Linked DNA regions of Oryctolagus cuniculus. The protein of the gene in region 1 interacts with the protein of each later gene in a pairwise test. Links are inferred from orthologs where the notes say so. Each region holds a gene or a part of one and is shown in the gene's direction. Other genes may lie near its edges. The genes, in order: CTNNA1 and ARMC8.

Region 1 (3,054 bases):
CTTCCCCTTTGTCTACGGCGAGCGTCTCCTTTTCTCGTGGCCAGATGTCGTTTGCCACGGCTTTCTCTGGCCACAGGCTCCCTGCTGCTGCAGAGTTAGTGAGCAGAGGCTGCTGGAGGCGGGAGGGGACTTCAGAAGGTGTTGTGGGAAAGAAATGTAACTAGAAGATGAGCCGATTTGGTGCTTCTCCTCCCGCCCCCACAAAATGCCATGCATACAGAGAGTCTTCAGAGTGTTTGTGGAAAACACATATGAAAAGATGGTACATGTGTTTTTTGGGGGGAGGGGGAGTGGCGCAGTGAACCAGAATAAACTTGTTTCTCCACAAACATTCTGAAAGGCGCCAGCATGCCTCATGTGAGCACGGAGAGACCAGGGCTGCTGACAGGTTCACCTCCCTGCTCTTGGCTCTAGCAGGGCGTGGAAGTGGGCTGGTGCCTCACTGCCCTTAAGCAGTAGCGTGGAGTGGGGGCGGTGGGGGGCCCGGGCCTGGCGTGCTTGGTCCTGAGCTCCCTCTCCCACAGTGCCCAGACTCGGCCTGCAAGCAGGACCTGCTGGCCTACCTGCAGCGCATCGCCCTCTACTGCCACCAGCTCAACATCTGCAGCAAGGTCAAGGCCGAGGTGCAGAACCTCGGCGGAGAGCTCGTCGTCTCTGGGGTGAGTGATCTCTAAGTGAGGAAGGCCCCGGGGGAGCTGCTGACGCCGGGTGCTGTACAGAAGCCCCAGTCCCGTGGCGGCCGCAAGCTGCACAGCGCCCCCACTCCGTGAGAGGGGTAAAGCCTGTTTGGAAATTGCAAGATAGACACAGGCTTTTTGCTCAGCTCCCCCATGCCCCGCCCTCAGGCCTGCACTGCTGTGTACCCCGTAGGAGAGGAGTCCCATGGCAGCCCCCACCGTACCATTCACTCCTCGGTGACACCGTGCCTGCCCTTGTCCATTCAGAGTGCATGTCTCTAAGTGAGAGGGGGAGATCCCTGTGCTGACTGACAGCTTGGGGGTGGTTCTGGGTGATGGCCCGACTCTGTCCGTCCCAGTCTGTAGTGGTGACCTCTCTCGTCAGTCCCAGGTCCCCAGCGGGTAGGAGGGTTTTCATCACTGCTGCCTTCCTCCTCCAGGGGAGCCGCCGTGCCGGGGTGGCTGGACTCCCTGGGTGAGGGCTGCTGCTCAAGCCCTGGCCTGGGAGAGGACGCTGTGGTCAGGTCCCGCGCGTCCGCTCACCGCCGCCCTCTGTGCCTCACAGGTGGACAGCGCCATGTCCCTGATCCAGGCAGCCAAGAATCTGATGAATGCCGTGGTGCAGACGGTGAAGGCCTCCTACGTGGCCTCCACCAAGTACCAGAAGTCTCAGGGAATGGCGTCCCTGAACCTTCCCGCTGTGTCCTGGAAGATGAAGGCCCCCGAGAAAAAGCCTTTGGTGAAGAGAGAGAAGCAGGATGAGACGCAGACCAAGATTAAACGGGCGTCACAGAAGAAGCACGTGAACCCCGTGCAGGCCCTCAGCGAGTTCAAAGCCATGGACAGCATCTAAGTTCAAAGCCAGGGCCAGCCACCCCCAGCCCTCAGAGCTCCTGGGGCTCGGTCACTAGCGGGTTTGCTAAGTAGACACTGACATTAGATTCCACAGGGATGTAGGCACACTTTGAACCCTGCCAGTTCCTTGCAAAGACATATTTGTGTTTCAGCTGGGCAAAAGTGCTTTTAGAATTCAGGAGCATATTTCTAGCTATATTTTTATATGCTTAAATTTTAAAAATTCCATAACCAAAGAGACATTAACTTGTTAGTGATGCTCTTGACCAAATGCTGATGCCCACTGTTGGACAAAAAGAATCCGTGACTCAGCCTTGGGTCAGGCGAGAGTGGCTCCCGGCAGTCCCAGGTACAAGAGGACCAACCTGGGCATCTTAGGAAGCAGTCCCTGGGCAAGGAAAGTTCTCGGGAGGTCTCCAGGGGGACAGACCCTCAGAAACTGAGTAACCGAGTCTCTGTGACACGGGAGTTTCCATGCATGGTTACAGTTACTAACGTACTCTGCTGTGGGGCTTCAGAAAGCTGCTTTTCCAGCTAGCAGGTTGCGGTGCTGTCATGGACCATGCTCCTGCCCTTTCTCCCAGCTGCAGGCTCCTCACTTGGCTCACTTCTGATCATCAGTGTTCCCTGTCTTGGGCAGTAATTTAGTCTCTACCCTATTTGTGATTACTACAGCAATCACTCAAGCTGCAAGGTCTAATTTTACTGTCTTATTTAAATTTTATGAATTTGAATTTTTTACACTAACATTCCCCAATAAAGTCCACTTTCAAACCAAGACCAACTGGCCAAAGCTGTGTTCTCTGCCTTTGAGAGGAGCAGTGAGTCTGCCGACATCTCTGCCCCGAGGGACACCAGGGCCGGCTCCTGCCAGCCCTCATCGGGGATCGTGGGATCCGTCTGTCGAGTCAGAACGCTGGGAGTCCCGCCCGGCAGAGCTGCCTTTGAAATGAGCCTCCGGAGCGGAGCGTCTCCCTGCCACACACACCCCCATCCCCCTGGGGCCCGCTCATCTCGCTGAACGATCCTCTTCTGGGACTCCTGGCTCCAGAGAGCCCTCACCTCTCTCTGGTTGCTGAGCCTTGGCTGTCTCCACTCTTCGGACCTCAGCCACACCGCCGGCTTCCAGTCCCATCTCAATGCTGCCTTCACCCTGGAACTTGGTGCTTAACCTGATGGCCTTAAGGTTCCACTTGGTTGTGGGAGAGTCTCTCAGACTTGACCCATCCAAACTGCACTCGCCACCCCTGCCCCCACCACCCCCAGGACACACCAAAGCCTTCTTCCCTGCTCTCTTCCTCCCCTTAACCCCACCCCCTGCTGGCACCACCCGGCTGCCATTGCTCAGGGCAGATGCCTAAAGTCAACTGAAGTGCACACGGGGTCTACTGCTTATGGAGTCTGCGCTGTCGCCTGGCCTGAGCAGCATGCTGTCATCACCGTGTGAGAGATCACCCTGCCACTTAACAGCTCAAACAAAAACATTACCTCCCAATCTCGGAGGTCAGGAATCCATGAGCAG
Region 2 (3,914 bases), on another chromosome or scaffold:
CACATACACACAAAATCCCTGCAAATTACAGTATACAGTTGGGGGTGCTATGTTAGTGGTAAGAACAAAGGGATGCATGAAGGCATGGGGAGGGGGTCACCTAAACCTATATTCAGGGGAGGGTCTTCCTGGAAGATGTATTGCTTTTATTAATGGATGGCATGTGCATAAAACAACTATGATTGTATCATATAAATGTCAACTGAAAATGTGATAGGTACCGCTGGGATGCTGTGTGTAAGGATTCAGCTCCACCCCATTGTGTATACAGTATGTGACATGATTTTAGGTAGTGCATGGATGGACATTTCAACTTTTTTTGTAGTTATCTATGTTAATGTTCCCTAGATTAAAAATTAGGAGCACAACCCATTTGATTTCATGAGTATTCTCATTGAGGATGAGTATAAAATCTTTTTTATGAGTTGACATTGGCTTTAAAGAAAAATACCGAGTGAATGATAACACCCAACAATAGCATAAGTGGTCTGCAGATTAATGAAGCTTGGGAAATACTATGGTAGTAGAGGAATATCTAAAATGAAATTCCTGCCTCCCAGGAACTCAACAGTGTGCTAAGTAACACAGACTCCTCCTAAACAAGGGTGATATGTGCGACCACAAATTTAGAATCCAAGTACAGGAGAAAGATAGCAAAACAGTGAGGAACAAAGTGGAAGAGAAGCTATCAGCCACAAGACCCATTGTAGAACTCTGGCTCTAATGGGGTGGGGGAGGAAGGAACAGCCTGCATTATAGAATGGCTAAAGAAATGGAAGGAAGAGAGTAATGTAACAGGATCATTGAAACCATCCTGTGAAAACCTCACTGGCAGAGAGCAACACCAAGGTGAAACCTGCCCATCAAGTCAAGGTCGGTGTTGTGCGCACACACACACACAACTGGAATATGAGCAGAATTAATCAGAACATATAACTAGAAGCATGTGTTTATTTGGCTTCACTTATCAGAGCGTATCAGGATGAAATACTAAGATAGTTGCCCCATTGTTTCCCCACCTAGAGACTGGGAAAATGTTAGCACATAATGCTGCATAATGCTTTCTACATTCAACCGAAACACATGGTTAACTTGCCGAGGTATGCAGCCAGCTGATAAGCCAAGGCAAGGACTACACCCAGGCGGTCTGGTCTGGAGTACCTATTCTTAACACTACCCCAGAATAAATGGGTCGAGCACGCAACGTTAAAGCAGGTCACACTTTGGTGCGCTGCAGTGTGAAACAATTACTCTCGGTGGCAGAAGATTTGGTTCTGAGATCGCGCCTCCTCCGCCTGTAGAGATAATAACCGCGCGGGGAGTTTGTTGCAAAGAGAGGGATAATGAATGTGCACGTGAACTTCAAACTATGAGCGTGGTTCCTCCTACTAGCTTCTCGGAACAGAAACACTCGTAACCCTGGACTGCAATTTATCAGTCGGTGGAGCCTGTAGCGGCAGAGCGAGACTCCGCCCCCGAGGCCCCGCCCACCGCGCGAGGCAGGTGGGGCCAACGGGTCTTCCCTGCGCATGCGGGAAGTGCCGCCGGCTCCCACCTCTAACCCAGAAGGAGAGTAGCTGGTGTTTCTGAGAGGACGATTCGCAAGGAGGGCCGTGGCGCGCTCCCCTTTGCTCTCCTTTGTGCGGGTCCTTCCCGTGCTCGAGCGGCGTCCAGAGCGTGGCCCAGTCTTGTGTACCTTGCCTGACTTTCGGCAGAGGTGCCTTTGGCGGCCAACAGTTGGCTGTCGAAAGTGCCGGCCCCCGTGCCGGCGCCGGCAGCAGCCGGGTGGGAAGGCTCAAGATGGCGTGCCTGTTAGAGACCCCAATCCGCATGAGCGTCCTCTCGGTGAGTGAGTGAGCCGCTGCGGCCGCCCGCCCGGGAGTCCCGGCCCAGCCCAGCCCGTAGCATTCTTCCGAGCGTGGTGTGGATCCCGGGCACCACCCCCTGGGGTGGCCTCCTGCTCAGCCTTCGGCCGGGGAGTGACGGAGGGGTGGGCGGATGGGGTCGACAGGACCCCGGCCGAGCCGGAGACGTCTCCAACTCTGGGAGCTCGCTCCAGCGCACGTTCCCTGGACAGCGGCCGGCAAGTGGGCTGCTGGGGAGTGCGGGCAGCTGGCTCAGCGGCGCGGCCGGAGCTTCGGCAGGCGTATCGCTGGACGCTCGTTTTAGCGGTGTGGCTTCTGTGGGGCCGAGCGCTCTGCCCTGCGAGGCGCTGGGTTTGCCGCCGGCCTGGGGACGAGCGCCTACTCGGCTCCCTGGGGCTTTGGGCGGGAGAGGTGCAGGCTTTTAGGGCCCCACAGTCTCGGGCCAGGTCGGTGTGGCTTTTTATCGCGTCCCACACCCGGGCACCTGCTGGGGCTGCTCGCATCTTGGCAGTTGTGGGTTTTCTATTAGCTGCAACTCTTGCTAGCGTTCCGTGGTTATTTAAGCTCCCTTTCTCCGCTCGGCTCTGGAGGCGAGGGCTCTGAGACTAAGTTCCCTGCGCTTGTATTCCTTTCTCCTTTAAGGGGAGTCAAACGTTGAAGGAGATAAGATTTCCCCATTTTTGAGAGAAGGGAACGCATCGACATGCCAGGAAGTCGCATTTTTTTTTTCTGAAGTAAAACAGATAACTTTTATCTTTCACTATGTTACAGGCTGTTCTTGAAAGAACCAGGACTAGGAGTGACAGTCTTTGGTAGATAACCTCGAAGCATTTTGCAACATGTTTCAGTGGTCCAACTCAGAACGGACAGGTCACCAGTGGTTCATCCGCTGTGGGAAACAAGCAAGCAAAGACTGCCCGTCTTTCACAGTGGAGGAAGGTTGAGTGGCACTCTGTCACTTTCCTGCAGACCTGATTTCTTTTCCCAGACTGCACCCACAAACACACTCACCTTTGGGAAAACATTAGCTTGAGTCCGGGTTAGAGCCATGCGGCACACTGCATCTTCGAAAAGGCTGCAGTTGACAGTACAATGATTCTTCAGTGTTTGGAGACTTTTCAGTTAATTTTGGAGGCTGTCAAAGTTTTGGAGGCTGATCCGTTTTAGCAGGTTTTTGTTTTTGTTTTTGTTTTTAATTTACACTACAGCTAGGGAAATACTGTTAGCCCATTGCTGCACCTAGACTGTAATACCTGTGAATATTTTGACTGTTCTCAATTCCCCTTTAATTATCTCCTTTAGATTAGTACTTCTTCAGTTCACATGAAGCTTCTTTATGTAGTTTTTCTTCTTTTTATTTATTTACTTATTTATTTGACAGGTAGAGTTATAGACAGTGAGAGAGAGAGAGAGAGAGAGACAGAGAGAAAGGTCTTCCTTACGTTGGTTCACTCCCCAAATGGCCGCTATGGCCTGTGCTGCACCTAGCGAAGCCAGGAGCCAGGTGAAGCTTCTTTATGTAAATGATCAACTTGTATAGTGCATACAGTTGGGATTTTTAATTTGTTTCACTTCCTCAGTAAATATTTCCTGTTTACTTTTATTCAAAAACCGCTTGAAGAGTATTTCCAACTAATAGTTAAGATTTGCTTCTGCCCCGTCTCAATAGGGCCATATTTTTATAAAAGGGCTCTTTTAGAGTTTCAGAATCTGGTCTGTCCACTCTTCATCTCTAGAGCCTTGAGAAATCAGAGCTTTGGGTAAGTGATTTAAACTATCTAAACTTTCTGATCTTACTAATCAGAGAAGTCTGTACCTTTTCAAATACTACCCTGGGCAGCACTTTTTAAAATACAATGTGCAGGCCGGCGCTGTGGCTCACTAGGCTAATCCTCTGCCTTGCGGCGCCGGCACACCGGGTTCTAGTCCCGGTCAGGGCGCCGGATTCCGTCCCGGTTGCCCCTCTTCCAGGCCAGCTCTCTGCTGTGGCCAGGGAGTGCAGTGGAGGATGGCCCAAGTCCTTGGGCCCTGCACCCCATGGGAGACCAG

What was found.
Region 2: the proteins of CTNNA1 (region 1) and ARMC8 interact in a two-hybrid assay, tested with the Homo sapiens proteins (2 studies listed by BioGRID and IntAct). The link is inferred for Oryctolagus cuniculus from reciprocal best matches to the Homo sapiens genes CTNNA1 and ARMC8.

Annotation. Positions count from the first base shown.
Region 1 is NC_091437.1:26,683,179-26,686,232, forward strand, and holds the end of CTNNA1 (catenin alpha-1), read left to right. Parts: intron 1-524; coding exon 525-659; intron 660-1,242; coding exon 1,243-1,530; 3' UTR 1,531-2,310; downstream 2,311-3,054. UniProt on the Homo sapiens protein: Associates with the cytoplasmic domain of a variety of cadherins. The association of catenins to cadherins produces a complex which is linked to the actin filament network, and which seems to be of primary importance for cadherins cell-adhesion properties.
Region 2 is NC_091435.1:143,528,799-143,532,712, reverse strand, and holds the start of ARMC8 (armadillo repeat-containing protein 8), read left to right. Parts: upstream 1-1,529; 5' UTR 1,530-1,800; coding exon 1,801-1,845; intron 1,846-3,914. UniProt on the Homo sapiens protein: Component of the CTLH E3 ubiquitin-protein ligase complex that selectively accepts ubiquitin from UBE2H and mediates ubiquitination and subsequent proteasomal degradation of the transcription factor HBP1.